Linked DNA regions of Struthio camelus. The protein of the gene in region 4 binds, or shares a complex with, the protein of the main gene of each other region. Links are inferred from orthologs where the notes say so. Each region holds a gene or a part of one and is shown on either strand. Other genes may lie near its edges.

Region 1 (7,502 bases), on a different chromosome or scaffold from region 4:
GCAAAGTTCAGAAGGTGATTTACCACAAAAAAAAAAAAAAAAGCGTTCTGTGAGAAGAACCAGGACGAATTGTTACACAGTCTTGCACTTGAAACACAGTATATACAGAGATGAGAATGAACTATTAATACATTCTGTGTTCATTCCAATCTGACGCACAAATCTCTACCACAGGAGATTTCTATCATGGTAGAGTTGCTGTGCCAGAGATTTCACTGATGTTTAAAACCTCACACTAAGATTTTGCAACAGAACTCAATATGTTCCAGCAGGTGTTACTCCCCCACGCACACTCACTACACTTGCTAAAGTTAACGAAGGACTTTGCAGCCCACGAGTATTACTCAAACTTGTTATAACTACACTGCTCACATAAGAGAAGTGCTAATGAGGGAGAACTGTAGAGTGGCTAGTAGTTACAACTTCCCAAGTATTATCTTAATATCTGAATCATTTTTTCCACAAAAGCTTAAGAAGAACACTTAGCTCCTTTTCCAAGTGGTCCAAACAGCCAGTGACCACATTCACTGAAAAACACCAAAATGAAGATGAATGTAAAGCCTCAGTATAACTCTACCAGGACTACTTGCTACGTGTAAATTATCTTCACATATCAGTATTGCTCATTTTGATAATTGGGAAATTTGAGTCTTGACACCCACTGAAGAAAAAATACATAGGAGGAAAAAAAACCCCAACAATATATGAACCACTAATCATTCTGCTTATGTTGTTTGTTTCCTCAATGATATAGGTGAACATTTTCCTGTTCCTCCATAGCAAAACGCTAAAGGCAAGGAAGGAGGGAGGTCCACAAACAAGGAGTACCCACCTTGAGCTTTGAGAATAGCTGCTTTTCCTCGCCCAGCACCAGAACCCTGGTTTTTATTCTTCATGCTCTTTAACATAGGAGCATTCTTCAACATATCTGGTAAAATGAGAAACCGTATCTTGCTACCTCTGATGTACACCTGTTCAAGCTGTGCCACTCGTCCATCTCTGTACGTCACTGTTATGTTGGACATCTGGAAGGTAAAAGATCAGTCAGTGCTTACAGAGGCCTCCAACACAATTCAGTATTCCCGTTTCTCTTGCTTTCACTATTCTGACTCAGACTCCTCCGAGTAAAAACTATCTGGGTCAAGTACTAGTCGTTTCAACAGAAAGCCTTTCTAGGTCCGTTTTGAGATTTTTAGAGCCAATGGAAGCTTTTCAGAAGTTGCAGCAAGTTGACAGGCTTGCATCAGCAGAATACCAACTACGCAGGCACAAAAAAAACCAAAAGCACATTAACCATGATTATTCTAATAAAAAAGACACTACTGTACATGCAATTTTTATCTCACTTGTGTTTGTATGCTTCTTTGTTACACAATCAGAGTAAGTTACATCTGATTTTCTTTGGCTAATCACAATATACAGTATGCAACTGATTTAGAGGAATACACATAAGCAAAATACAGCAACAGAGCAGAAAAATTGCATAGTTTACTTACAAAACAGTGCAAACAAACACAGAGCCAAGATTCAAGTACCAAAGCCAAGAACCTTCCAAGTACTGTCATCTTGACTGGCATTGTGACACAAGGTATCCAGGACCTTTCGCACATAATGCTAAGCCTATTAGTCAAGCAGGCCCAGCGTTTTTATCTTCACCCCAGTATGAGCCAGAACAAACTCTTAGAAAAACACAACTCAGTTCTGTTTTCTCACATTAAGTCACTTTTAAAAAAGCTTTACTTGTTCAAATAAAAATGCTTCCTTAATACTTAAGACAACATGATTTCTATCCAAAGTCAACCAAAATTAAGCCCGCTTGGGATGCCTGAAGTCATGTGCATTAAAAAAAACACAAAAAACCCCTTCAGTTTCCTCAAATAAGGGTTTGTTTAATCTTAAGCCCAGAGCAATAAAATGAAAGACTCCAGTAGAAACACTGTCCATAGAACAAAGTCTTAAAAAACCCTAATGCTATTGACAAGACTTCCCAGGCCTGCTTTAAACCCTAAAAGAACAAACTCTGCGCTCTTTAGAGCATTCAGCAATCCTGAGTCCACTTCACTACAACGTAGGCATGCAGCAGCAGGGTTTTTTTTTTTTTTAATCCTTAGACTAAAAATAATAGTCTTTAAATCAAAACACAAATAAGCTAGCTATCAACCTTTCCTGGCACAGACGAGACAGCCTCCCTTCCCTCCACCAGAGGCAGCTATACCTGACAGTTCATGTTGTCTTCAGCTTCGATAAGCTTGCCCCGATAGACTTCTCCTGTGTTGGTCTCACATGTGACGATGTGGCCTTCCGCCTCGTGCAGGACTTTGATGGGCACGCCGATCGACATGTCTGCAGAGCTGCGGCTCTACCCCTGGGACAAGGAAAAGCAAAGGAAACGGTCTTTGAAATTAGGTTCTCCCTACATTACCTATGATCTTTTCAAGCGTAAGAAACGGGGGGGGGGGGGGGGGAAGGGGGGTTCCCCCTTGCCCAGAAACACCACAAGTTTTGATGAAACGTTAACAAAGCTCCTCTAGAAAGAGGGCTATGGGAAAAAAAAAAATCACTTAAATATCAGTGGAAGTGGCTGCCTACGGGTTCCCTGCTAGGAAAGGGAAAGGAAACCCGCTCCCCAGCTGGAGGACACCGAACCGCCGGCGCAGGCAGGGGCGGCGGCGGCACCGGGGCCGCTCGCAAGCGCGGCCCGGCGGCAGCAGCGCGGCAGCCGGGCCGGGCCGGGCCCACGGGTCCCGCGCCAGGGCAGCGGGCACTACCACGAGGGGGGAAGGAGGCGGCCCGGGCCCGGACGGCGCCCCGGGCCCGCGGCCTCGTCGCCAGCCATAGCCAAGAGGCCCCGGGGCCGGCCCGGCGCCCACCACCACTCACCGCCCGCAACCGCCTCAAGCCGGGCCCGCGCGCAGCCCCTAATGGCCTCCTCCAGCTTCCCGCCGTGCCCCGCGCGCCGGAAGCGGAAAGCGGCGCTCGCCGGGAGGCTCCTCCCCGTCCCGTCCGGCCCGCCCCGCCCCGCCCCGCCCCGGCAGGGCAGGCGGCGCCTCCGGCGCGCGGGGCCGGCCGGGCCGCGGCGCCCCGGCACGACGGTTCCGCCGCCGCCCGCGCCCGCAGAGGGGCCGCCGCCGCCGCGGGCGCTGCCCGCCCGGCGAGCCGCGCCGAGCCGCGCCGCGCCATGCCCCCGCCGCCCGGCCGCAGCCGGCCCCGCCGCGGCGAGGGCGCGGCGCCCCGGGGCCCGGCCCCCCGCCCCCGCAGCCCCCGCCCCCGGCGCCGGGGCCGGGCGGAGCCAGCGCGGCGCCGAGGCACGGCGGGCCCCTGGGCCGGGCCGGCTCGGCGGGGCCGGCAGCGAGCGGGCGGGCGGCGGGTGCCGCCGCCGTCGCCGCCATGAAGAGCCCGCGGGAGGCCGGGGAGCCGCTGCCAGGTCAGTGCGCCCCTGCTGCCCCGAGGCCCGGCCGCCCCCCGCGCCCACCCCGGCCCCGGCGGGGCGCTGAGCGCGGGCGGCGGAGCGGGAGCGGGAGCGGGAGCCGGGGCCTCGCGCGCTGGCGGCGGCGCTGGCGGGGCGGCCGGAGGCGCGGAGCCGGCGGGGCGGCCGCGGGCGGGGGCGCGGGCGGCCGCCTCGGGGCAGCGGGGAGGCCCCGCCGGGAGAGGCCGCGGGGCCGGGAGCTGGACACCCGGGAGAACTGGAAAAGCACGAGCCGTTGTCGGTCTGTGAAGTCATCAGGCAGAAAACAGCGTTACTTCTTAAATTAACCTGGGGAGCTGGCAGAGGCCCTAGGTAGGAACGAAGAGGGAACTGACTCATGACACGCCGGGAAGAACCAACAATAAAGATTTAAAGAGGGTAGTCCGAGGAGGATCTGGGACTTTTTGTTTTCCCTTTAGGAGACTTACGTAAGAGCACCTTAATCTAGATTAACAAAGACAACTGAATATACCAGCAGGTATACCTGGTCTTCGAAGTCACGATTAAACACGGGCACAACTACGAAAAAATATTTTTGAAGAGTCCAAAATATCTATATTGGCTTGTGCCTACTGTAGGCTATAGCTTTGTTAGGAAATAATACAAAATTATTGTTACGAATGACATTACTTATAAAGTTTTACAAATAAAATTTTATCAAAACTAGACCAGTCCACATGATGTGGAATGCATTTTTATCTTCATGCCGAAGTGTAGTTGACCTTGTGTTAACAGCTTTCAAAGGTCTTTTCTAGTCAAAAGTGAAGGGATTGAGAAAAGCCCTTTAAGACTAGCTTACTCTGATTAAGGTTGAAATAACAGTAACACCTGCAAAAACACTAAGTCATTCAAATTCAAACGATAATGGGTCTTCTGAGACTGAAACCATCACACTTGCCCCAAGCCTATAAAAATGAAAAATGAGGAAGAAAGATGGAATTATGGACTTTCCAGTAGAGATTTTTCTTCTTTCTTTTTCTGAAACCTTGAGAGAATATAACACGAAAGGCCAACTAGTGTCATTTGTAAGGTTCGGTAACTTAAAATTACTCACATAAATTATAGTCCCTGAGGAAAAAAGACACATCTGTAGAAAAGGCTCAGCTCTGTGGGGCTTGTGAGAGAGAGGTGGCTGGAGGAGATCTTTGTTGTGTCTGTTTTATCACAGTCTGGCTGAACACCTTTTGTGGCACAGAAGTACATTCAGAGACTGTTTTGGACACATGACAAAGGATGAATAGCTGTGCCTTATCTACTGCTAGTTAGGAGGGGATACAGCTTTGTAACTAGGGGCTGGTGGATGTGTCACCACCACAAAAAAGAATAAAATACTGCACAGTGATCCAAATATGTAACAATAATATGACATTAAACCAGACACGTGAGGGTTAACTCTACAGAAATACCAAACAAACCTACATCCCCTTAGGAAAAAGGACCTGCCAATCAGGTAAAATAAAAAATGTTCCTAAGTTTCCCCCACTATAGTGCTGAGTGTACCTGCAAGACAGCAAATTGGCTTTGAATGCTGAGGTACGGAAAAACATGTATATGCGGGTTGACATCCTCCATGTTTTACTAAGTGTTGTTTTCACTGCAGTTGACTGCATCCAGTTGAAAGTGCCAGTCATCCAGCAGCTGTACCACTGGGACTGTGGGCTAGCCTGCTCCAGGATGGTACTACAGTAAGTAACTTTTTTGGCTTCAAGGGGTTGGAAATCCCATCCCATGGGAAGTCGGAAATCAATGTCCAGGGAGAAAGGATATGTGGAAGCAGCTGTGAATTTAACTTCAGTATCGTGAGAGCATATAGTCTCAAGTACCTTTGGAGGATTACTGCTGCCAGGGTCTAGCACAGCTCTCCAGCAAGAGCAAGGGAAAATACAAACTAGGACAAATTTTAAGACTTTTTAAATGATTAACTGCTTTGATTGATGCAAAATATCTGACTAGCACTAAGATCTTTGCAGGTTAGCATGCTTAAGCTAGTAAAAGTTATCCCTCTTTTCTGTTATAATTTGGAACTAGCTTTTACCACAGCAATTCTCTTACTTCCATTCTGCGTGTTTTCAAGTGGCTGGTAGGTTTATCCCGTATTTATGAATATATATTGCCCCTGTCCTGTTGAGCCCCCACTCTGTAGGGTGAAGGGTTTCTGTTCCAGGAGTAGTTTCAACTTCAAGGCTATGCACTGTATTGCCCTTTTTTTTTTTTTTTTCTTTAAACTAGTAGCTGTCCTGCTGAACTCCTCTTTCCTTCCACAGAGGAACATGAGCTTAGGTGCAGGAGAAATACCTATTTAGATGTCCACTTAGTAGATATGAAGCAGAAGATTTTCATTTCTCTCCATCCCTACTGCCAAGACGTTAGTCCGTGTGCTGGTAATTTCCCATCTTGACTACTGTAACCTCTGCCTCTTCATTCCCTTTACCCTCGTTGCCATTCCAGTCTGCCCAAAACTCAGCTTTCAAGATTAATCTTCTTACCCTGCTGATCTGACCTTGTTTGCCCTGCTTCCTCAGTTCCAGTCTTTTTCTTTTTTGCATTTATTTCCATCTGTTTTCTGACTTCCAGAATTCTCTGTAACTGCCTCTCCCTAGCCCTTTTGCAACCTGACCTAAGCTTCCTCCTAACCTTATCTGCCCTTTGCACCATCAGTGCCTAAGAAAATTCCTTTGACTATTTATCAACTGCCTTTACAGTTCCTACTTTTGAAATCCACCTGTTCTGTGAAGCAAGTTTTAGTCTTTAACGCTCCTGTGCTTGCTGTTATGTTGCTATGTATATTCAGACTGTAACCCCTTCAGAATAGAGTTCTGCCCTTGCTCACTATAGCTTACCTATTGTACAGCATCCTGTATACTTTTAGCACTATAAAACAATTGAGATACCTGTACATTTCCAATAAAAAAGTCAACAATAAAGCCAGTTAAATATTCCTTATTCCCTTCCCTTCCTTTAATTTTGGGCTCATTTGTGGGTTGCTTTTTGGTTATTTCTTAGCCAGTCCCGTTGTTTCAGTTCTTCCGTCCTGTGATGTGGAGTCTTGGGCTACTGCGCACACTTTGCTTCTCCTAAGATCTGTGTTTCCCTTCCCCTACCTTTTCTAATACCCTAGGTACCTGAATCATTTGGACAATGATGAATTTCAGAAAGCGATCCAGGAACTCCGGTTAACAAAGAGTATCTGGACCATTGACCTGGCTTACCTTATGCGACACTTTGGTGTTAAGCATAAATTTTGCACCCAGACACTTGGCGTGGACAAGGGCTACAAAAACCAGGTTAGCATTCCTATTCACTGGGAAACAGCACGCAGTGTTAAAAGTGAGCCCTGTGTATCATGCTATAAAAGCTTTGCTGTGTTACTGAGCATTAACCACAGTTGCTGTAAACCAGATTTGCCTATTGCCAAAACTGGCCATGAATCAGTTCTCAAGGCGAGGCTAGATATGATCCCAGATATTTTCCATCTTTGATTCCATAATATGAACTCTTAAAGAAGAGTTTTCATTTAGTGTTCAAGAAAGGTTCCAGCCTATTTGACAGCCTCGGAGACTGAAGCCCTCTATTTATCTACAGAACAGGTACAGACAGCCTGGGCAGCGGCAGTGCTAGCTTCCACACTTCCCCCACCACCGTGCCTCAACCTTGACCTGGAGGAACCACCTTTAGAGGTGAGAGGGGAACTCAGTCTCCATGTCCGTTCAGAGCTTGGCCTCTTCGAGATCGCTAACAAGGGGGCCCACGAGTGCCTATTCAGGCAATAGCTTTTCTGATGCAGGCTCCTGCCCACTACAAACCGGTCCGACTTCCTTCATGCAGGAAGCTGAATAGCCACTGGATGGAGACTATAAGAACTGACCAGGAGCGTATTTGAACTGATGATTTAGAGCAGGAAATCTTGTCCTATTACCAGTGAACTAAAGGAGAGACCTCTTAGCCCATAACTAGATCTCTTAACTCATGCAGGCCTTTGCTAGCAAGGATTAACTAGATTAACTCGGGTAAACTTCATCCTAGTTCATAGTTCTCT
Region 2 (7,302 bases), on a different chromosome or scaffold from region 4:
GAGATGACTTATTTACTGCTCAGGTGTACTATACACCAAATGCATCCCTGAACCTCAGAATGGATTTGATCTCTGAGACTTGCTCTCCTCAAAGTCTGTCAAGAGACAGAGACAACCACGCAGTTACAAGCATATGTTTAAAGACATTTCACCAACTAGGACAGGCAAGCAGAACTGCTTCTTATTTCAGTTTTTTTTTTTTTTTTGGTACACACCATATTCCAGGTCAAGCAGACAAGTTTGACAGACATTCTTGAGCTTGCTGCACGTTTGACATACTTCTGTTTTCTTAAAACGCATACGAACACCAGGGCACCAGCGAAATACTGTGAAAGGCCTAGCACAGATCTGAAAGACAGAAAGCAGAGACTCGGATCATTGTTACAGCGCAATGAAATTACCATTCAAGTTCTTACAAGGAAAGGCCAAACACAACAAATCTCTTTCAACCATGAGTCTTTCTTCATCATCTTAATGAAAAGATCCAGATAAACCAACTTATGAGCTCATGAAATAATTGTTTGTCTTTGGTATCTTTTTTTGACAGGAGAAAGTTTTTGGAAGGATTTTTTTGGTTTGGTACAATATTTGAATACTGAAAGCAAACCTATACAAAGGAAAAGAAATTCTTCTTTATTCCGGGAGATGTCACCACAGAGCTGTAAGAGGCAAATTACCAACGGTTCCTAAATTGAACACCCACTGGCAAAGAGCAAGGCCAGTGAAAGATGAAAGAATTTTTGATCCAGAAAAAAAAAATACTGCCCTCTATGATATCTGTTGGAAAGATGCATCTGCTTTCAGTGTATGCACAATTTGAGGAAGATTTCAACACACGCCTTCTTCCTAACTCAGCTGACAATTGGTAAAAGAAAAAAAAAAGGAAAAAGAAAAAAAAAGTTCTCCAAGTCAAGACAAAGCATTCTATTTTACATTTCCAAAAGACAGCACTAAATGCTTTTTGCTCTCTGTTAGAAATAAATCGAGCTTACTTCTTAAATAGCTAACACAAATCACTACATGGGCAGGAATAACTTATTCACACCAAAAACTAAACCTCAGTTAGAGCAAATATGAACCTAAAACAGAAAACATGAGATCATTTGAAATGCTGTGAAATACCTTTGAATATAGCACAACCAATATGAGGAAAACATATTGAAAATATATCTTAAAAACACTGAGGGCAAATCCTAAAAACACAGACTTCAGGAGTTTTAGTCTTGTTAACTGATTTTGTCTAATAAAACATATGGTAGATTGATGCAAAAACTTATGCAGTTAAACAAACACATTAACTTGTTAACCCAGATAAACACTTTTCTGAAGCTCACAATTTTTTTAACATAAATATTTACTACTCATAGATGTGCAGCAGTTTAGAAGTCAGTTTTTCAAAAGACAACAAACATACCTTGCATTCTTTTCCATATTTCTCTTTGGTCTGAAATGTAATCAGAAACAGTAAAATAAAATGTAAGACGTTATTTTGTTCAACGTCAAACTCTCCCCCATATATAATATCATCAAAATTACAACCCAGTGTTTTTTCTCCTCTTATTCTGCATTTAGACTTGTTCACCGCCATGGTTTCAACTCAGTCAGGATAGTCCTTGGCAGATGAACAGAACAAGACAAAAAAACAAAAAATAAGCCATTTTTGAAGTATAATCTATACCGGGAGTCAATAATTTACAAAAAAATTCACAAAAGACTTCCAGTAATCTTGGTAGAAAGGAAACAGTTAAGGGAAGACACTTGATCTAAGTTTACATCATACACAACTAGACTAAGTCCACAGAAAGGTGATATAAAATGGATTGATTCATCTTCTACTGAAGAAGCCAAGGTAAAAGAACAAGGATTTGAATTACTGTCAAGCAACCCTCATAAGACAATTTTAAACTAGTTTTTACAGGTGGGTATCCTGCCCATTCTAGAAATTGTATGCATTTATTTAACGTTTCCGCATCTCACTCATCATCACAAAATTTAACAGCACCAAAGGTTTAATTTCTAGTATTGCCTGTGCTTTAGGCATTAAGACAACGTTGTCTTATTCTCTGCTCGTGTTATTGACTGGTTGACTCTTAAATCATGCACCCTAAGTCATGGCAGGGCATACAAAAATAGCAGGAATCAAGTTTTGTGGTGCCGAATTAACGAATTCAGAGTTCAAGTGCATCTCAACATCTCCTCTTTTATTATTCTAGTTTATTCTAGCCCTCAAAACCCAACAGCTCTACAGCCACCAACACAAAAAAAAAAAAAAGCGAAGGACCGCAGTGTCAAACAGGCACATACCATTCGAATATACGGGTTTTCTCCAAGACATGTTTGGCACAGGATAGGGAAGTCCTGAAACGATCAGGAAGGGGGTATACAAAAGATAAATAAATAAATCAAGAATTAGCCGCAGATTCTCTCTCTCATCACAACAGCGTTCAGGTCAGCTCCTGTACTCAGCGCAGCCAAGTCCAACCCGTCAGACCGAAGGACACGAGAGCGGCCCCACGGGAGCCCCGCAACGCGCGACAGCCGCGACCCGCCGGCTCTTCCTGCCCGAAGCGCCCGTTTCGGAGGGCTCAGCTCCCGGGGCCGGGCCCCAGCAGAGCCCCTCGGCGCCCGCCCCGAAAGGGCCGCGGCTGGAGCGAGCAGGGCCGCGGCCGCCGGGGAGGCCCGGCCGAGCCCGCCAGCGCCCGCAGACCTCCCCGGCTCCCGGCCGCGCCAGCGCCGCAGCGCCGAGCTGCCCGGCCGCGGGGGCCAGGGCCACCGCGGAGCCCCTCGCCCGGCGGCAGCGGCTCCCCGCGCCCCCCGGCCGCGCCCCCGCTCACCGCGTCCTCCCAGTTCTGCCGGTTGTAGGTGTTGGAGCCCAGCGACGTCGACATGGCGGACGCCCCCGTTCCGCAACCCGCCGCCGCCGGAAGCCCTCGCGCCGCTCCGCCTCCGTCCCGGCAGGCAGCGGGGCCGGAAGCGTTCGCCACCTGCACCAGCGACGCTCCTCTGAGGGCGGGGGAAGCAAAGAGTGAGGAAGGAGGTGAGGGCGGGAGGGCGCCAGAGTGTCGCACCGTAGGGACGCTCTAGGCACTGCAAACTATAGAGCCCAGCTCACAGCCGTGGGAGCGTGGCGGAGAAGGCAGAGGGGGTTGTGGGGCCGGCCGGACCCCTTGCGGAGGGCGGGGGAGGGTTGTGGGGCCGGCCGGACCCCTTGCGGAGGGCGGGGGAGGGTTGTGGGGCCGGCCGGACCCCTTGCGGAGGGCGGGGGAGGGGTTGTGGGGCCGGCCGGACCCCTTGCGGGGGGGTTTTTGGGGCCGGCCGGACCCCTTGCGGAGGGCGGGGGGGGGGGGGGGAAGCCGGGTCGGACACGCCAAGAGGAACCTTTTTTTCTGAGGGCAGAGTAAGCAGCACCAGGGCAAAAGCAGCAGAGAGGCAACTTTGCTTTATTGAAGTTCACTACATGAAATTAAGCAGTAAGGCAACGCAGGCGCCCGTCTGTAAGGGGCAGACACCGACAGAGGCAGAGCGCGGCCAGGCGCTTCCGCACAGACAGACGTAAAGACACAGCGAACGCTACTCCTAGCTCCTATAAGCGTCTAAAGGGAGAAGAAAATGCACCGGACTAGTTAGAGAGAAAAAAGTCAACACACCCTTTAGCTTTCAAACTAGCGACTGAGAGCCCACAAGTACATCTTATTTTCCTATAACATAAATAACAGCCAAAGAACCCACCAAATACAGCAAAATCCCAGTTTCAAATTCCTCTTTCACCAGAGGGACCACGAGCTGCAGGTCAACAGGCCTCGTCAGCCAACGCTCGTCCCAAAGCCTGCTCGTCCTCGTTAGTGTTGCAAGGGGTGCCAGCTATTTGGCTAAAGAAGAGAACTCATGGCCAAAGCTTAAGTGTTTTGTTATCTTGAAAGGTAAAACAGCAGCAGACACTAACACTATACATGAAGAATAAATACAAACTACACTTCTTAAACTCATGCTGTATGTCTGTGTAGGGCCTACGCAAACCTGTAAACATGAAGCCTCGCTGCTTTGAGACCCATTGCACAATGGGGATAAGGCGTGCTTCCCCTGCAGAGCTGTCAAGTCCAACCCTCTGGCCACCCACAGGCAGGTTTCTTCCTTTAAGCAAGACGCATTTTTAGGCGCACCAAGCCCTATTTGCTGCATCGTTACTTCCCTAGGAGAGGGGGGCAGCACGATCCCTCCCTCTCATACAGAGGCATTGCAACTTTAGACTGGCAGAACCGTGTCTTAAGTCTCAAGCAATAAAACCGTAACTGACTGGTATTTCAGCCTTTCCCAATATCACCATCATGTTAAAGACCACCAGAAGTGTTTAACAAAGGTTAACGCCTGAATTGGGAACGCAACTGAAGTCCCAGCAGGAAGAGGAATCTTGCCGGCCTGCACTATGCTATTGTAGCTACTGGTATCTGGTATCAGGGGTACACTGCTCTTGGTTACCGTTTTTAGCTTGGACTGCAGCCAAACTACACCCTGGTTACACCATGGATAAGTTATCTTTTTATAATGGTGTAGTATAGGCTAGTTAAAGTATAACAGTATTTCCTCCTTTGCATTTTTCCTCACCCTCCTATAGCAGGAAAAAGACTAAGTATGAACTTGAACACCCCGTGGAGTTTTATGTATACCGGTCCTAATCTTAACTCTCCAAATTTCATACTCTCTGGTTGCTATCCCCATTAACACAATTTTATTGATATGAAGACTGCCAGGCAACCTCTCAGAGACATCCTTGCCTCAGTAAAGAGCTGTATCAGAATCCGATTCCCAATTTGTAAAGCATCATGCTACCCAATCCATCTTGCAACACAGCAGGCTTACAGTCGGACTGGTTGCCAGTCAAATCCATGAACACTACAGTATACTATGTTTTGAGTTTAAAGGCAAACTGATCATTTCCTTTGTGAAGACAGATTTATCACCTTGGCCAAACAAGCTACGCACGCCAAAGTGTTTTTTCATAACAAGAGAAACAATTGTACCTCCGAGTCTCCCACATTTGAGGGATCCTATTAGGAAGAAGAAAACAAAAGAAAAAAAAAACAACATCCGGCTGCAAGAGAGACTTGACTATAATGAAGCAGACGTGGCCACCTCCTAAAATGTTTCCTCAGGAAGGGCATAGCTCTGTGTGGAAAAGAAGAATTCCATAGCTGAGCACGTAACATTAGCTTTGTGGGAGGACATGATGAAGACAGACCAATATAGGTTCTTTTCTGTTGATAAAGAAAAATTCAGCTAGGTGTAGTGCAGATCTGGAGAAAGCTACATACATCTTTCTCTGTGCTGAAAAATGTGCTGTAAGTTAAACTAGCACATGGTGGTGCGGGGAAACGGAGTGGTAGTTAGTGGGCACTACAATAAGAGGAGAGAAAAGAACAAATCATCCAAAAACACGGTACCCTTGCCCACACCCATGCAGCTTCCTCCTCGTGGCTTGGCTGGAGTCCCTGGCACACATCCACACATCATAGAGGATCTCTCACAGAACTTCTCATCAGGGTGCATTCTTCTACTGTGACAGTCTATCCTGTGGCCAGCCCTCGGGATGCAGGTGTTGGGAGCGTTTATGGGAGCACTGGACCAAGGCTGAGCTCCACGTGATGGGTGAGCCAGATGACCTCAGAGCTCTGATCGCTTTCCTCACTGGGCCGGATTGGAGCAGCAAGGTTTTTAAACTCATGCTTCATCTTAAAACTCACGGTCACGTCGCCCTCCTCTTTCTGTGGAGTGACCTTGATGAAAACTCCTACCTTATTGGCTTTTCTGAAGGCAATAATGCTGCAGGACAGAAAACAAGAGGATACTGCGTCAGCCAAGCTCTCAAACGTTTGTTTTGCAAAGATTTATTCCGATACCACGAGCGGGATGCTCAGTTTACAGCCTGGGGGCTGAATCTGCCCTACTAGAACAATTCCTCCAGCCTGTAGCTTACTCCCTGCTGCTCTCTTCCTAGAGGGCCCCAAGTCCCTCCTCCCACCTCACGATCGAAACGTGTGTACCTCCCTTTCTGCTGGCAACTGTTTGCACGCCTGTCACACAGAACATCTCTGCTTTGGTCACGGGAGTTAACGTATCCAGTTGTGCAATACAGAAGGGCCACGACACATGATTGAAGTAGCTCTGTAAGAGGCTACAGAACTTTTCCCATTTTGAAGACTGAAGGGACCTCTGCGTAGCACACAGTACTACTGCGTAGTTCACACCACTGCTATGACCCTTTTGCTTGCAAAGGGAAAGATTTCACAGAGCATTCTTGTGAAATGAGAGATTCTCTCTTCACAGAGAGAATCAGTATTGCCACCTATAACCCAGTTGCTACAACAGCACACCCTGCCTCCAGGTAAGGTAATATTTCTTGAATAGTCCAAACCACAAGCAGAAAAGATAAGATTTGCATTTCTAATCTCTGCCAAAAAAACCCAAAACAACAACAAAAAACACAGAACGAGACAGACATGCTTAAGATAGACAGAAAAGCAGTACGTTACTTGGCTGAAGTGCCAATTGTTTTAAGTACAGGATGGACACAGGGAAGACAGCACTTACTCAGGGTCATCCTGAAAGTCTTGAGGCTCTGCCAGCTCATCATATTCTGCTGCAGCATCTTTGCCAGCCAGAATAAGCTCCTTGGGAGGAACTGCCACCTGAAACAGCAGAGAGAGAGGAGGCCCATCACCCATACTGCAAGCAGGGGAGAGCCCTTCCCTTCTGAAGGCTGCTTAACTAAAGCTCAACAGAAAAGGGAATCATTCTCTGCTTTTCCACCACTCTTTCATTCTGGTTCCCACCCCTCCAGCAAAGTGGCCACTGTATATTTCTCCCTTGAGTTGCGGATCTCAATGAACAGGCACACATGCAAAATATTTTACTACCTAAGAATGACGTTTATGTTGGTGACAGTTATTTAAGCCTCCAAGGAGGCAAACGTAATGCAGTCAACAGGGACCGAAGCACATGTCAAAGGTGCAACCTAGGGATAGATAGGTGGAAGTGGAGAGCCTTGGAAAGGGCCTGGGTTAGTGCAACAGGGAGGGCACAATACCTTGGCAGTACTGTTGATATTGTCAGGGTCTCCCTCCTCGCACTCCAGCAGCGTGACATGTGTGATGTTCTCCACTGGATTGGTCAGAGTCAGAAGGACTTGGCTCTCCTGAGGAGATTCAGGAAACAGTTCAAGAAGCAGTTATTCTAAAAATCTGTTTTACTGTTACTTCCGCCTTCTGTAGGCGACTGATCAATGCCTTCAAAACTGGTACCACAGAT
Region 3 (7,393 bases), on a different chromosome or scaffold from region 4:
GGTTTTCTAACAGGACCCCACAGGGATCCTGTGGTCTCCGCTGTCCCGTTTGTAGCAATGATCCTGAGGCCAATATGAAATCGCACTGAGAAAAACTACAGGTACCATAAAGAATTCCAGATGGCAACTAAGAGGCTGTGCAAGTGACACCAGCAAGGGATTTCTTTTCAAGCCAGATACATTTGAAACAACCAGGAATTCATCTAGGAACAAAGGTCACACAGAACTTTCTAATTCAGAAAACAACGACTTTGAGAAGGATTTAAGAATCACCATGGACATGCCTCTGACCTTGAGCACCCAGTGTAGTGGAGGGTGTGAGGAAAAGGCCAACGAGATCCTTACATATATAAACAACTGTGCAGAAAGCTGAGGGAGGAAAGTGATCTAATCTCTCTAGCCAACACTACTGGGACTGATGTTGAAATACTTCTTATATTTCTAATGTGGATAAATTGGAGAGAGTGCAGGAAAGAACCTTCAAATAATTGGTGAGAGGAAGGAAATGCTTCTAAGAGACTAGAAGAGTCCAGTCTGCTTACTCTATCCAACGACAGTTGCAAGACTACATTACAAAGTATAAATACCTAGTGAGAAAATGGCCTTTTTAAATCAGCAGAGAAAGGCATAGCAGGCACCAGTGGTTGGGAGTAAAGCCAGATAAAACGGAATTAAAAATAAGGTGCATTTTTGAGCCATGAGGATAATTAACTCCTGGAGGACATTCTCAAGGGAAGCGGTGCATTCTCCTGCTTTTCGTGTTTCCATGAAGTACAGAATACCTCTCTAAGACGTGCCACAGCCAAACTGCTCAAACTGAAGGTGCATCCATGGTGCCAGCTACAGGCTACTGTGTGCAAAGGGATCCAAGGCTCATCGTGCCACAGGAAGAAAGCACTCTTTGCCTAGACCTGTTCTGTTCTTACAGCTACCGTGGGAAGGGGGAAGACCTGAGTTTTTGTCCTTATCTGGTTGTTTATTTTATCTGATCATGCTTTAATGTAAAATCGTAGAAACAGGGCCTGGGATCCAGGAACTTGCATTCGCATATGAGAGTTGACTGGTGCTCCCTGTCACACACACACTCTCTCAATTAATCTTTAATTCCTTTCTGCTCAGTGGAGCAGCTTCAAAAAGCGGTAGAGTGTGCCTAAATACCAAAGCCATCTGAGGCTGGATGACTGCTGGGGCAACGGTTCTCCAAATGCGAGGTCAGCCGTACTGGGGACAGGGACAGACCCTGAAGGAAAAGGAGTTATGAGAGGAGAACGGCCCTGAGGCTGCCTCCCTTCCCTCCGTCCCTTCCTGTGTGCAGTGCCAAGCTGAGTGAGATAGGGGCTATGCCACCTTGGCTGTCCCAACGATTCGGGCAAAGCATACTGCTTCTTCATGTACAAGCCCAGACGTGGTAGGGAAATGCAAGAGGAGCTTTGCTTTTCAGCAAAGGTGCAATTATTTTGGGCATCTCCACATAGGCAGGGACCAGCCAGTGTGAGAATAAAGGGTAAGCCACAGCAGAAGTGTGAGCAGATCCTAACATGCACTCACATCTTGAGGGGCTGCAGAAAACTGGCCAGGCAATGAGGCAACTCTGACCAAGTCCTCTGAAATATGACTGCTGCTCGCACAGCCTTCCTCACTGAAGATACAACTCCAGGAGCAAAGGAGGTTTAGAACAAGAGGTCAGTGAGGGGTTTAACACTCTTAAGGTTGTACAGAAAAGCTGAATGATGGGAGCAGGACATTAACCAAAATCTTTGTGACTGGTGGCTGTGAGCCTCTTCTTTAAGGTAGCAGAAGGCTGGGGAGGGAAACGGACCTGGAACTCCCGCTCCACAGGTGAGCACTGTAACCACTAAACTATCACATAAAAGTAGTTGGCTCTCCTACCAACAGTACTATTAAAAAAAAAAAAAAAAAACACTGACCAAAGATATATTTTTTGTCATACTGAGAGGCTGATCATGGTATCCACGAGTGCTGGACATGGTCTGAGAATAGTTACTGGATGAAAGCTCTCTGAGCACTTGAGCTAGGGAATATCTTGTTTCTGGATCCTATCAAGTCTCACTGTGAGCAGGATGCTAAACTTCTTAGACCAAAGGAGTTTAACACTGGACAAAACTCTTTACGTCTGGAGATCTTTAAAATCAAAAGTTGTGGACCTGTGAAGGTTAGATGCTTCCACAGCCTTTGCAGCAAGATCAGGTAGGGATTTTCAGGAGTCTGGACTTAGGCACCTCCATTCCACCAATATCCTACTTTAGCACACAAGTCTTTAAAGGATCCAGCCCTTTGACTCTTAAACACTTTCCTGTCTGTTTGTACTTCACATCTATACACACCCAAGTTAGAGGAAAGGAAGCACCTTGGTGTCGCGGAGGACAACTCTAGTCAAAGACATTAAGTCATTCCTTTCCTTAAAAAATCATTTTATCTACTCGAAGCAGGGATTATCCCAGCATTTGAGCTATGAAACTATGAATAACTCTGAAAATAATATCCATCATCACAGGATAATGCACTAAGCTGACAATCGGAATTCTTGACTCACTACTTGGGAATCTGGACTCCTCTGAGAGGTTTGATCTTGACTCTAAACTGCCTGCAGTGAAATCAATAGTAAAACCATTTCACGGGGTGCAGACTGAGGCTTGCAGATAAGAAAATGCAACAGTGGATGCCTGGCTATTGACAAGCGCAGCTCTTAGGAAGTGACACAGTAATTACTGCTTCTATTTACGTGACTGCTGAGCACAGCCTAAAATTGATGACAAGCTGCCCAAAATATCCTGTGTAAAACCTCTAACGTTATCAGAAAGTATTAGTAAACCTTCTTCTGCTGCCCACCAGAAGGGTAGCTGCCAGCCTGTCCCTTCCTTGGGCCTGGAAAGGCATAGTTGGAGGTGGAAGGGAGCGACCCTGTGCAGGGGGACAAACTCTCGGGAAACTATCCACGGGCTGCCAACAGGAAAAGCAGATAAACACGCCTTTCTCAGTGTGCCTTGTCGTTCATCGGTCAGGGCAAGCAAAAGCAGCAAAGAGAACAAGCCCCCAGAGGCAGGCTGCTCATCCAGGAACCACTTGTCCCCGTCCCAAGCTGCTGCCATCAACCCCAGCGGAAACGGCACGCACCTCACGGAGACACGGCTGCTTTTCAAACTCCCCTGGCACAACCTGAGCAGGGGACAGGGGGTTTCTTTGCCCAAGGGGGCCAGGGTGCTGCCTGGGGCGGGTGCCCCAGTGGGCTGCTCTGCGAGCAGCCCGGCCTCGGGGACCTCTCGAGGGCCTGGCCTGGCCCAGCCCAGCCTGGCATGGCGGGAGAGTAGCTCCCCGGGCAAGCGAGCGTGTCGGTAGCCTGGTACTTCCCACGTCGCCAGGCGAGTCCCAGCAGCCTGACCACGGGATGCGTCTAAAAGCGGCAGTGACGGGAGGAGAGAAAGGGCTGCTGAGGAGACGGCGTCTCTCCACTCACACCCCCAAACTGCAGCCTTTTAACGAGACGGCGAGGCAAATCCTCCTGCAGAGCAGCTGGATCAAGGTGCTGGGCTGGCCCTGGCCCTAACCCTAACACCAACCTCAACTCCCTAACCTCAACCCCAACCCCCTAACCTTCTAACCCCAACCCTCCCAACCTCACCCCCCCATCCTGACTCCCCAGCCCCCCAACCCCCCACCCCAACCCTAACTCTCCAACCCCCTAACCCCCAACCTCACCCCCTAACCACAACCCCCTAACGTCAACCCCTAACCCTCTAACCCCAGCCCCCTAAGCCCCAACCTCAACCCTCTAACCCCAACCCCCCATCCTGACTCCCCAGCCCCCCAACCCCCCACCCCAACCCTAACTCTCCAACCCCCTAACCCCCAACCTCACCCCCTAACCACAACCCCCTAACCTCAACCCCTAACCCTCTAACCCCAGCCCCCTAAGCCCCAACCTCAACCCTCTAACCCCAACCCCCCCAACCCCAGTCCCCTAACCTCAACCCCCTAAGCCCAACCCTCCAACCCCCTAACCCTCTAACTCCAACCCCTTAAGGCCATCCCCCTAAGCCCCTAACCTCAACCCTCTAACCCCAACCCCCTAGTCCCCCAACCCCAGTCCCCTAACCTCAACCCCCTAACCCCAACTCCCTCATCTCAACCCCCAACCCCAATCCCCCTAACCCCAATCTGCCCCGGGGCGCTGAGCCGAGGCGGTAAGGTGGGGGCGACCACCATCGCTACACAGGCAACAGCGAGGCTACCACCACGGCGCCCACTTCCGCCTCGGTAGCCATCATGGCGGGCTCTTGGCTCGCCGCGGTCACGTGGCAGACGCTTTCCTTACGCCGACCCTCTCTATGGTAGGTTCTCTAGCAGCAGCTGCGGCGACTTCCGCTGGGTGTGTCTATGGTTTCCCGCGCGGTGCCTTGTGGGCACTCGGCGGGATTATGGTGGTGGTGTAGGGCTTGTTTGCGCAGGGCGGGTGGAGGCCGCGGTGTAAGTATGTGGGGGAGACGCGGTTCTCGCTGGGGAGGGGGGCGAGATGGCCTGCCAGGGGCCAGGAGTGCGCCTGGGGCGGTCCCTGGGGCGGTCCCTGGGGCAGCGGAGGGGGTAGGGGCCCAGTCCGGATCGGGCCGGGCCCGGTGCGCTAGAGGAGCGGCCGGGCTTCGGCTGGGCCAGGGAGCGCCGCGGCGTGAAGGGGCCTGAGGAAGGGGCGGCTGCGGGGGGGGGGGGGGGGGGGCAGGAGGGAGAGGGCCCGGAGAGAAGAGCGGGGGCGATTTGGGGGATGGCTGTGGTTGGGAAAGAGGGAGAGTGCCCGGGGAGAAGGGTGGAGGGTGATTTGGGGGCAGAGTGAAAGGGTGGCTGTTCAGTGGTCTCTGTGTTCAGCTCTGAGCAGCGTGCCTCGGTACTATTTGGCATAACCTTCCTTTGTGCAGCTCAAACACTGAGTTTAAAATAAAAAGCAGAAGCCTAGTTAGAGCGGTGTAAGAGGCAGGGAGCAAAGTGATGGTGCAGCATTGGTCGTACTGAAATTTTAGATTCTTACGTTGTGATTTCAGGTTTGGGGGCTGTTATGAGTTCCAGTGCTCGTGTTCAGGCTCTGTGGTGAATGTAGTGGGGATGGGTTCAGCAGGATTGTTAGCCGCAGGCATAGTGCTGTACGGGCACGTTCTGTACTGCTGGGGCAGTTCAGCTCCAGGCTTAGTTAGCCCAGCCACTTTCTCTTGGCTTAGCAGTGAGCTGGTAAACCATGCTTGGCCAGTCCTGGCCTCATGTAGTGCTAAAATGGATTTTTCAGTAGGCTGTATTTCTGAAACTTAAGAGTTTCTGAAACTTAAGAGTGCAGTGCAAAGGTCCCTGAGTTCAGGTCTGTTAAGGCCAAGCCAAACTCAGTCTGACCTCAGAAAGAGTCAATGGGGAGCAGGGACAGGTTCCAGAATATTTTTTAGTGTTTCATGAAAGTATACAGCCAGACTAGATCTGGTTCTGCCTCTGAACTAATAAATCCCTGCTGTTACTGATAATTGGTTCAGATAAGACTTGAGAGCAAATGGCTTTCTCAGATTATGGGTCTGGTAGAGTCTGCACTGAGCCAGACCTAAAAGAGCCTGCTGGGCTCCAGGTGACTTGCCCATTGTCACTGATGTGTGTCTGCAGTGGTTGGTCAATGAGCCAAGGCTAGTTACCATGTCAGTATTACCTTCTCACTGCTTTTTAAAGATATTTGTGTCTGTTAACTTTGTCCTGAATAGTAGTTCAGTGGCAGTAATAATGTTCTCTGTGGTGGTATGTTCCTATTCATGTTAAAATTAGAAAACATTTTTGTCACTGAAGTGATGCATTTTCTGGCCCTTTAAAAGTGAAAAATGAACAAAAATGCAGGTACAGCATAAACAAATTACCCTTGTTTGTGATAGCAAAAAAGCGTATCTTATTTTTTCTTCTATTTAATATTGTTTAAAATAATTTCTTGTTGTCCTTTACTATCCAACCTTCCACTTGGTAGGCTGGTGCCTTTATGTATTTCTGCGCATGTCTCTCTCTTGTGTCTTAGGTATCTTTAGTCTGTGGTTAATGGATGTGCATGTCTTTGTGAATCAGAAGTGAGGATAGTTGCAGATAACATATTTGAGATGATGCTGTTTGATCATCCAGGGTTTTTTTGCATTGGTTATCCATCTTAAAATTTTGGTGTAGTGGGGTGGGATTGCAGTGTCCAGCTCCTGTCTGGCAGTTTTGAACGCAGTGCATGCTGACAGGGTCTTTGTGTGGTAGAGGCTGATTTGAGTCTCTTTCACTCCTTTGCCACAGGAGAATTTACAGTAGCGATTCTTGGCCTCAGTTTTTTCATTTTTAGGGACGTGCTGGTGATATGTGGGTTTCTAAATGAGAGCTGCTGAAAACTTCCTTCTTTGCCTGAGCTAGAATACTTTTTTTTTTTTTTTTTTTTTTTTGTAATGTAACAGTAAAGTTGTCAGGCTTCTGCTACCGGAGGAACATTAACCCTGTCACACTTAAAACAAAAACTTTTTTTTCCTGGTCACCTGGAGCTCTGCATAAGTCAGTTCCAAAAAACTGTGCTGCGTTGTTGATGTCAGTGCTGTGCCTGCCCTAAATAGGGCCAGGAGAAGGGCTAGTGCATTCAGGATATGTGACCATCCTAATTTAATTGTCAACACCATTCTGGACATACTGTGGTCCATGTCAACCAGTACTTGCAGTGATGATAGCTGGATACAGTTTGGGTGATAACGGAGGGACTATTTCCAGTAGGCAGTATGAATGAGGCTGTCATTTCTGGGGAGAAGAAAGAGTTAAGTTACGTAGCTGCAGCCTGTGCTGTACCATTTGCCTGGAGGATGGGAGAGAATAACTCATGACCTGTTTTATTTACTTCTAAAACAAAGCCTCAGATTCTCCCTGTGCTTCAACTTTCAGACATGTTGGAAAAGTTTTTCAGTTTTGAAAAACTGAATAGGTTCTGTCAATCGTGTGCCAAATGATAGCTTGTTTTGGGTAGTGGGACTTGTCATTGCTGCTACAGTTCCAGGAACAATGTAGTTTCTAATGAATGGCTTTCATTATAAGCTGTAGTAATGACCCTTTTTTGCGTTTGATTCTATAGTAATTAAAATGACCACAGCAGCAAGGCCAACGTTTGAACCTGCAAGAGGAGGACGAGGAAAAGGAGAAGGAGACTTAAGTCAGCTATCCAAACAATATTCCAGCAGAGATCTTCCTTCTCATACTAAAATCAAATATAGGTAAGTTTTGCTTTTCGTTCTGTGCTCTTGGAAAACAGGCTGGGGAAGGTTTTCTTTTGCAAAAGCTGCTCTGAGGTTTTTCACAATAGATATTCATGTGCTTGACACTGAGCAGACACCAGATAGCGTGCAGCACTGCT
Region 4 (6,897 bases):
TCAGGCTGGTAGTCCCATCGCACTGTGGCCCGCAAGTGCTCTGGCGCACGGATGGGTCCTTTTCTGAAAGGGTGGGAGAAGGCTCAGGCCAGGTGCGCAGCTGCAGTGGAGAAGGCCCCTGGGGGCCTGGTCAGAACCAGACACCGGACTCGTTAGATAGAACCAAGCGGTAATAACAGCAGAGTTCAAGCCCCAAAAGGTGCCTTTCGGGATGGTGCCTGAGCTCCTCTGTGGGTCCCACTTCTCTGAGGCTCATCCCAACCTACCTGACCATTCCCGAAGAGGCATTTCCCATTGATGTGTCCTTGGGCTTCACGTACTTCTGATAGTTGTTAATACCACGGTAGATTTTATCGTCCTCCTTCCCTCTCAGCTCCTAGGAAGGGGAAAGAAAGGTGATTAAGGGTCAAGTGACTCAGAAGAAGAGAGCTTCATGTCACAGATGAGCTTTCACCTCTCTGTCCCCAGTCTCCTTTCCCAGCCCTGCCTTCCTTAGCATCAAGAGGCCAGTAAAGTCAGAAAGCTCCCCTATTTAAAAGGGAAACACTCTTCACCTCTCAAATGTCCAGGCGAGGAAGATTTCCTCATGCTCATGTTTCAAGAATTCTTGCTGCTCCTGAGACTGGAGATGGCAGAGGCCTGGCTCCCTACTGCAGCTGTCCGTGCTTTTTCACTCCAGCCACAATGCACACATCTCTTGTTCCAGGCACTTCTGTCCTGGTTTGCCTCCTGGTGCAAACCTCCCTTAGACACTGATCCTCTGAAACAAGCCGGACTCTAAGTGCCAAACCGACCGGACTTGCAGATCTATTAAACTTGAGCGGCTCCATCTCACCACCTGCTTCTTCCAAAGACACCTCACATGCCCTGGAGCTGCACAGCAGTTCCACAAGACTCAAACACTTTTTGACATGCGGGAGAAGGGGATGAATAAAGCACGCACACACCTGCCGCAGAGCACTGGCTGTTACAGAGCAATGCTAACTGACCTCCTGGATTTTCTGGCTGCGCTCGAAGATGGCCTGGGCATCTTTCTCCTTCTCTGTGTCCAGTTCATACACTGCGGTGGCCCCCATGTCTTCTGGGCCAACAGGTTTCTGAAAAGCAAGAAGTACACGTGACAACAGTGAACAGAAAACTTGTAAAAGGACAAAGAGCTCCTTAGAGGGTCAGTCTCAGAGCAAGAAGTAACCAAGCCCTGGACATGGCCCACTTTACCTTCCACCAGTTTCCACCTTCCCTTAGCACCTGCCTGAGAAACTCTCCCATGGGCCAGATCACTCATATCCAGCCTCGTTTTTGCAGAGGCCAGAATGCTAATTACTGATGGCTCCTAAGCAGGGGAAACACCTGTCCTCATTTTGCTCCTTCAAGCTTAGCTTTGGCTTAGTTGGAAACTGAACTCGGATGTGCCATGTCTAACGCTCTAATCGAGAGACCATCCAGCCCACACACAGGATGTCATGGCTGGATTCTTAACCTAGCTGTGGGTGGCTTACAGTCAGTTTTAGTTAATGCAATGATCTAGTTTAAACTCCTCTGGAATGCACTAAATAGACACCTATTCCTGGTTTTGTCAGATCTTCAGGAACAGCTGCACAGGAACTGAAGAACAATTTCAACCAGTCCCAGTTAAAACTGAATCCAATTTATGTGCCAAAAGCTCCTGGAGCGCCAAAGCTGTCATTTCCTCCTGCACCATTCCTGTTCTCCTACAGCAAGCAGCGCTGACAACATGCTGCCCCCTTTGGCAGCAAAACCGACTTGCTTATGGAAGAAGGAGAAGGAACGTAAACATCTCCAGTGAACTCCTTGGGATTTCTAGAGTTTTTCTCTATTTCCACCGTACTGTTCTCGTGCAACTAGGGCACCGGATTACCAGGACCCCCACCTGTCACTCCCAAGAAAACAATACCTCTCTCTATAACTCTGTTACCCCATCACTAGTTATGTGCACAAAGGTAAGAGTCCTTTATAAATCACCCGGAAAATTCTTTTGAGAAGGATAGCGGTTCAAAACCTTAAAACGTGGACCCAAGACTGGGGCAAACCTCGTTCAAGCGCCTCTTTTAGTGAAAACTGTGTGTGATGCTGGACACGTCCAGTGACGTCTTGGAGTTTTAGTTCCCGCATTTAAGGGGTAAAGACCAACCTCAGATGGCCTCCTGAGGATGCAGAGAGTATCAGGAGAATAAACCTGGCATGAGGCGCTTGAGCATTACGAGTGAAGCGGCAGGGAAGTGCCTCTACAGGAAAAAAACAAACAAACAAACAACCCAGGACCGAGTTGACTCGGGGAGGAAGACGCTCTCTAGCCTGGTCTAGCCTGGTGCGTGGTGTGGCACCCCTGGATCACAGCCCTGCCCAGTCCTTACCGCCGACCTCGTCGATTTGTAAGTGACGCCGATCTCCTTTGCCTGATCCTCCTCGTCACTGCTGCTCAGCGCGTACGTGGGCTTTTCCTTGACGCCTCTCCTGGTCTGAGGGGCGGAAAGAGGAGGGGGGGGAGTGAAGGACGGCAGGGCCCAGCGCTCAGCGTGGGGCTCGGCGGGCAGGGCGGCGCCCGGGCAGGGGGGGCAGCGGCCGCGGCTCCCTTACCTTCTGGATCATGGGGTTGGGGGTGTCCCGCCGCCGCTCCTTCCGCACCACCGTGCTGCCTTCGTCGCCGCTGCTCTCTGCGGGGCAAAGCCCAGGGCTGAGGGGGCGGCGGGAGCCTCGCCGCCGCGCTGACACGGCGCGGGGACCCCCCCCCCCTCCCCGCCGCGCCGTAACGCAATGGCCCCCGGGGCCCCTCAGCGCCGCAGCCTCACCCCGCTCCTGGTCGCTGCTCGGCCGCTTGCGCCGCCCGCGGGCCGCCGCCGGGCCCCGCTTCTTGAACACGAAGCTGCACACGGAGCCCTCGTCCGCCATTTTGCGCCGCCGCCGCTCGCCAACGCCGCGCAGCGCGCAGCGCCCCCTGCGGGCGGGGAGGACGCGGCGCCCTCGACCCCTCCCTCCCCCCCCGCGTGACGTAGAGCAGGGGCGGGGCCCCCTTGGAGGGCGGGAGGGGGGGGGCGCCCCTCGCAGGCGGGGCGGGAGCGGCGGCGGCGGCGCTCGGGGCGGGGCTAAAGCCGGGCCCAGCCTGGGCTCTGCGGCGAGCGGGGCCGGGCGCGTCGCCATAGCAACGCGCGATGGCGCTGAGCTGGGCCCCGGCGCCCTGGACGATGGAGGCCCGGCTGCCGCCGCCGGGGGCGGAGGGCGCCGGCTGCCGCCGCCGGGGCCGTGGGCAGCCAGCGCGTCCGCGTGGGCCCGTGCGTGCGTGTGTGTGTGCATGCACCTGTATGTGCACGTGCGTGTGCCTATGCATGTGCACATGTGTGTGCATGCATGTGCATGTGCTTATGTGTGCATGTGCCCATGCATGTGTGTGCACACATGCATGCACGTGCATACGCATGTGCCTTTGCGTGCATGTGTGTACACATGCATGTGCACGCATATGCATGTGTATGTGCCCATGCATGTGTGTGCACATGCATATGTATGTGCCTATGCGTGCGTGTGTGCACATGGATATGCATGCATGTGTCTATGCATGTGTGTGTGCACGTGCAAGTGCATGCATTTGCATGTGTATGTGCCTATGCATGTGCATGTGTGTGCACATGCATGTGTGTGCATTTGCATGTGTATGTGCTTATGCATGCATGTGCCTATGCATGTGTGTGTGTGCATGCAGGCAGGGGAGGAGGCACAAAGTTTGCAGGCAGGAACTAGTGGAGAGCGTTTAACTGGAGCCTATTTCTGGGGGCTCCTCGTGGGGCGACGGGGGAGTGGGAGGGAGAAGCTCACCCCAGCCCTGCACCCATCCTCACGCCCCGGGCGGAGGGCTGCACCCTTCCTCGCTCACGGCAGCTTTCTGGTGCAGCGTGGCCAAGCCTTGGCCGCTCTTCTCTTCCCTTGTGCAGCCCTGCCAGGCTCACGCTGCGTGATACGTGTGATCACCCGTGTCGCTGGGTCGGGCTCTGCTTGGCAACAGCTAATTTTACTAGCGAGTCAAATTCCTCCTTTATTTGCTCGCGGTGGCAGCAGGCCGTTTCACGGCAGATGCGATTTGGGCAACGCAAGCAGCGGCGGTGAGAAACGGCATCCCCGCTGCCTCCTTGGCCAACAAGGTTGGCTTTTTTCGGTGCCGGCTGGGGGGGGGGGGGGGGGGGAAATTCCTGCCCTCCGGACTTCAGCCTCTGCATCCCGCGCCGGGATGCGGCTCCCCGTCCCTCGCCCCGCCGAGACCTGCCGCCTGCTCTGCGGACCGCCTCGCCCCGCCGGAGGGGCAAACCCCCGTTTCGGAGACCCTCACGGCTCAGTTTTTGGTCTTCCCCCCCCCCCAAATAAAAAGGTGCTGGGGTCTCCCTTCTGCAGCCGAGGGGCTGCGGGGCAGCGCCGAGAGGCCGCCGGGGGCTCGGGGAGGGCGGCGGCGGCAGAGGGGCTCGGCGGGGGCTCGGCCTCGAGGTTGGGGCCTCGCACAAAGGCGGGACGCGGCTCGGAGCCGGTACGAAGCCGCGAGCCAATCACGGCGGCGGCGGCGGCGGCCCCCCCCCGTCGATAAAAGGGTTGACGAGGAGGGTACCGGGGCTGCCAGGAAACGGCTCCGGCTCCGGCTCCGGCTCCGGCTCCGGCTCCGGCTCCGGCTCCGGCTCCGGCTCCGGCTCGCCGAGCCCCGGAGGAAGGCGGTGAAGCCCCCCCCCCCCCCCCCCCCCCGGACGGACCGGACCCGCCGGGGGAGAAGCCCTCCCGCGCGGTGAGCTTTGGCTGGCCGACAACGACGGGGCCGGGAGGCCGCGTTGGCCGGCCGGGATCCGCGGCCAGCTCCGCTCCCAGGTGAGAAGGCAGCGAAAACACCCGGGGGGGGGGGCAGCGAAAACACCCGGGGGGGGGAGAGGGATGCAGGAGTGGGGAGGAGGGAGGAATGCCGCGGGGAGCCGCCAGGTGGGAATTTCGGGGGTGTGTGTGTCCCCCCCCCCCCCAACCACCCCCGGGAGCAGGTCGGAGCCTGGCGGCTGCAAAGTCTGGTTTTTGAGGGGGGGGGGAGACGCCGGCCGGGCTGCGGGAGCCCCTTGGGGAGCGGCGGCTGCGAGCGGAGACCCGCGCGGGCGTTTTCGGGGGTGGCGAGTCGCCTCTTTGTCGTGTGCATGCCGGAGAGGGGCTGGCCAGATCCATTTTTATGAAGCTGACGGGGGAAAAAAAAAAAGAAGAAAGGAAGGGGGAGGAAAAAAAAAAAAAAAGCCGAGAGGGAAGAAAACCTGTTAGATCCCAGCTCGCTCGGCCGTTCTCGGTGGTGCGTCTCCCCCCGCCTCGTCCAGCCCGGCTTGCAGCCTTGGCAGCGACGGGTCTTTCATCGCTTCCCTGGGGAGGCTGTTGCACGACTGTGAGATCTGATAACAACACAAATACCCGCAGCTCTGACACAGCCCTTAACTACAGCCAGGGATCTCCCAGGGCTTCACAAAGGAGACCAGCTCTGCTTTCGTCGTGGGGGGGGGGAAGGGAGCACACAAAAACGAAGCGATTCGTCCCCTGCCGTGCAAAAATCAGGAGCAGAGCCGAGAATGAACCCTGGGGCTCCTGCTTCCTGGTCCTGTGCTGCACCCGCTAGGTTTCGAGCCGGTCTGATCTGTCTAATCCCGCTGGATCATTGGAGACCAGCTAAGCTACCTCGTAGGTCACGTTTTTTTTTTTTTTTTTCTGATCGATTCGCCGTGGATTTCTGCTGGGTGGGCTTCAGCTTTGGAAGAACAAGCTAATGCAGCGGCCTCGATCACGCCTTGGAGACTGGGCTTTGTCCATCGAGGACGTCGTGCTAGGGCGCTCTCGGGGAAGACATCTGGCGCCCCAGCTGAGCTGTCATGTATTTAAGGCAAGAAGTAGCCCATGTGTGCCATGTTATTAATGTAGATTACCAAATAATTCCGGTATTAACAGCCTATTTAAACGGGGGAGCCCTGCAAGAAGCAAACAGCCAGTTAAGATGTCAGAACCAGCCTCTTAGGCCAGCTCAGCACTAGGGGTGCAAAGTGACTGGATGCATCTTTTTCTCTAGCTTAAAGCTAGCTTCCTGGCCTTTTTTGGTCAACAAAAATCCCACAAGACTTCTCATTAGGGAAGGGAGTTCCTCTTCTGGTTTCCTTCAGCGAGTTGGTGCTGTGAGCCTACAAATACCCCCTCCGGCCCCAGCTGGAGGTGGGATTTTTCTTTTCCTTGTCGCCCTTCCCCAGCTTTTGCAGTGCTGTTGTCCATTGTTCGGCAGCTGCCATGTTCCCCTGGAGGTGTCTGCTTTTCACTTCCTTGTAAGTCATTTTTTATCTGCCATCTGGGGGTGTTGCAGAGCTTACCTAACTGTTAGTAAAGCTCTGGGATGGAAAACATTAAATCTGAGCGATGGGATTATTACAATCATATTAAATGCACTTTAGATACATTTTGCACTCTTCTGGGGTGCCCATAACCCCTTCCACATGGCCAGCTCATGGCTTTTCAGATGCAAGGAGCCTCGACAACCTCTGAGATGGCCCGGCAGAGCAGCACAGAGCCTCTCCAAGGCTTGTTTTTCCTCTTTGCTCCACCGAAACCCCAGGCGCTTGCACAGCAGCAGATCCTGTACTGGGTTGTATGACATCTTGAACCCTAATTGGGAAGATGGAGGGGGAGGCTGTGGCCAGCAGGGCTTTTCCAGGATTTTTGCTCAAGGTATAGGCTAGCCCTCATAGGACATTGCAATTCCACATCTGGTATTTTACAGGTGATAGCCCATGGGAGGAGATTAGCCAACTTCACACTTACAGGTTGTGTTTGGGGAAAGGGGAAAATTATGCATGGTTACAGGCCTGTTAGTTGGAGTACAATAAAAGGTGAGCTTCT

The links.
Region 1: RNF113A (region 4) and SNRPD3 share a complex: the UniProt entries of both Homo sapiens proteins name them as parts of the minor spliceosome. The link is inferred for Struthio camelus from reciprocal best matches to the Homo sapiens genes RNF113A and SNRPD3.
Region 2: RNF113A (region 4) and RBM22 share a complex: the UniProt entries of both Homo sapiens proteins name them as parts of the pre-catalytic and catalytic spliceosome complex. The link is inferred for Struthio camelus from reciprocal best matches to the Homo sapiens genes RNF113A and RBM22.
Region 3: RNF113A (region 4) and CWC15 share a complex: the UniProt entries of both Homo sapiens proteins name them as parts of the minor spliceosome. The link is inferred for Struthio camelus from reciprocal best matches to the Homo sapiens genes RNF113A and CWC15.

The regions. Positions count from the first base shown.
Region 1 is NC_090958.1:8,968,560-8,976,061, reverse strand, and holds the start of SNRPD3 (small nuclear ribonucleoprotein Sm D3), read right to left. Parts: upstream 3,021-7,502; 5' UTR 2,881-3,020; intron 2,366-2,880; 5' UTR 2,342-2,365; coding exon 2,216-2,341; intron 1,026-2,215; coding exon 833-1,025; intron 1-832. Other genes in the region: protein GUCD1, read left to right, coding at 3,388-3,424, 5,067-5,151, 6,585-6,750. UniProt on the Homo sapiens protein: Plays a role in pre-mRNA splicing as a core component of the spliceosomal U1, U2, U4 and U5 small nuclear ribonucleoproteins (snRNPs), the building blocks of the spliceosome.
Region 2 is NC_090954.1:13,415,705-13,423,006, reverse strand, and holds the start of RBM22 (pre-mRNA-splicing factor RBM22), read right to left. Parts: upstream 3,007-7,302; 5' UTR 2,889-3,006; coding exon 2,835-2,888; intron 2,359-2,834; coding exon 2,305-2,358; intron 1,445-2,304; coding exon 1,415-1,444; intron 349-1,414; coding exon 216-348; intron 1-215. Other genes in the region: DCTN4 (dynactin subunit 4), read right to left, coding at 5,604-5,817, 6,586-6,683, 7,082-7,189. UniProt on the Homo sapiens protein: Required for pre-mRNA splicing as component of the activated spliceosome. Involved in the first step of pre-mRNA splicing.
Region 3 is NC_090942.1:211,881,786-211,889,178, forward strand, and holds the start of CWC15 (spliceosome-associated protein CWC15 homolog), read left to right. Parts: upstream 1-4,386; 5' UTR 4,387-4,395; coding exon 4,396-4,489; intron 4,490-7,114; coding exon 7,115-7,253; intron 7,254-7,393. UniProt on the Homo sapiens protein: Involved in pre-mRNA splicing as component of the spliceosome. Component of the PRP19-CDC5L complex that forms an integral part of the spliceosome and is required for activating pre-mRNA splicing.
Region 4 is NC_090966.1:4,277,764-4,284,660, reverse strand, and holds the start of RNF113A (E3 ubiquitin-protein ligase RNF113A), read right to left. Parts: upstream 3,005-6,897; 5' UTR 2,911-3,004; coding exon 2,811-2,910; intron 2,676-2,810; coding exon 2,599-2,675; intron 2,481-2,598; coding exon 2,376-2,480; intron 1,098-2,375; coding exon 990-1,097; intron 377-989; coding exon 267-376; intron 64-266; coding exon 1-63. UniProt on the Homo sapiens protein: Required for pre-mRNA splicing as component of the spliceosome. As a component of the minor spliceosome, involved in the splicing of U12-type introns in pre-mRNAs. E3 ubiquitin-protein ligase that catalyzes the transfer of ubiquitin onto target proteins.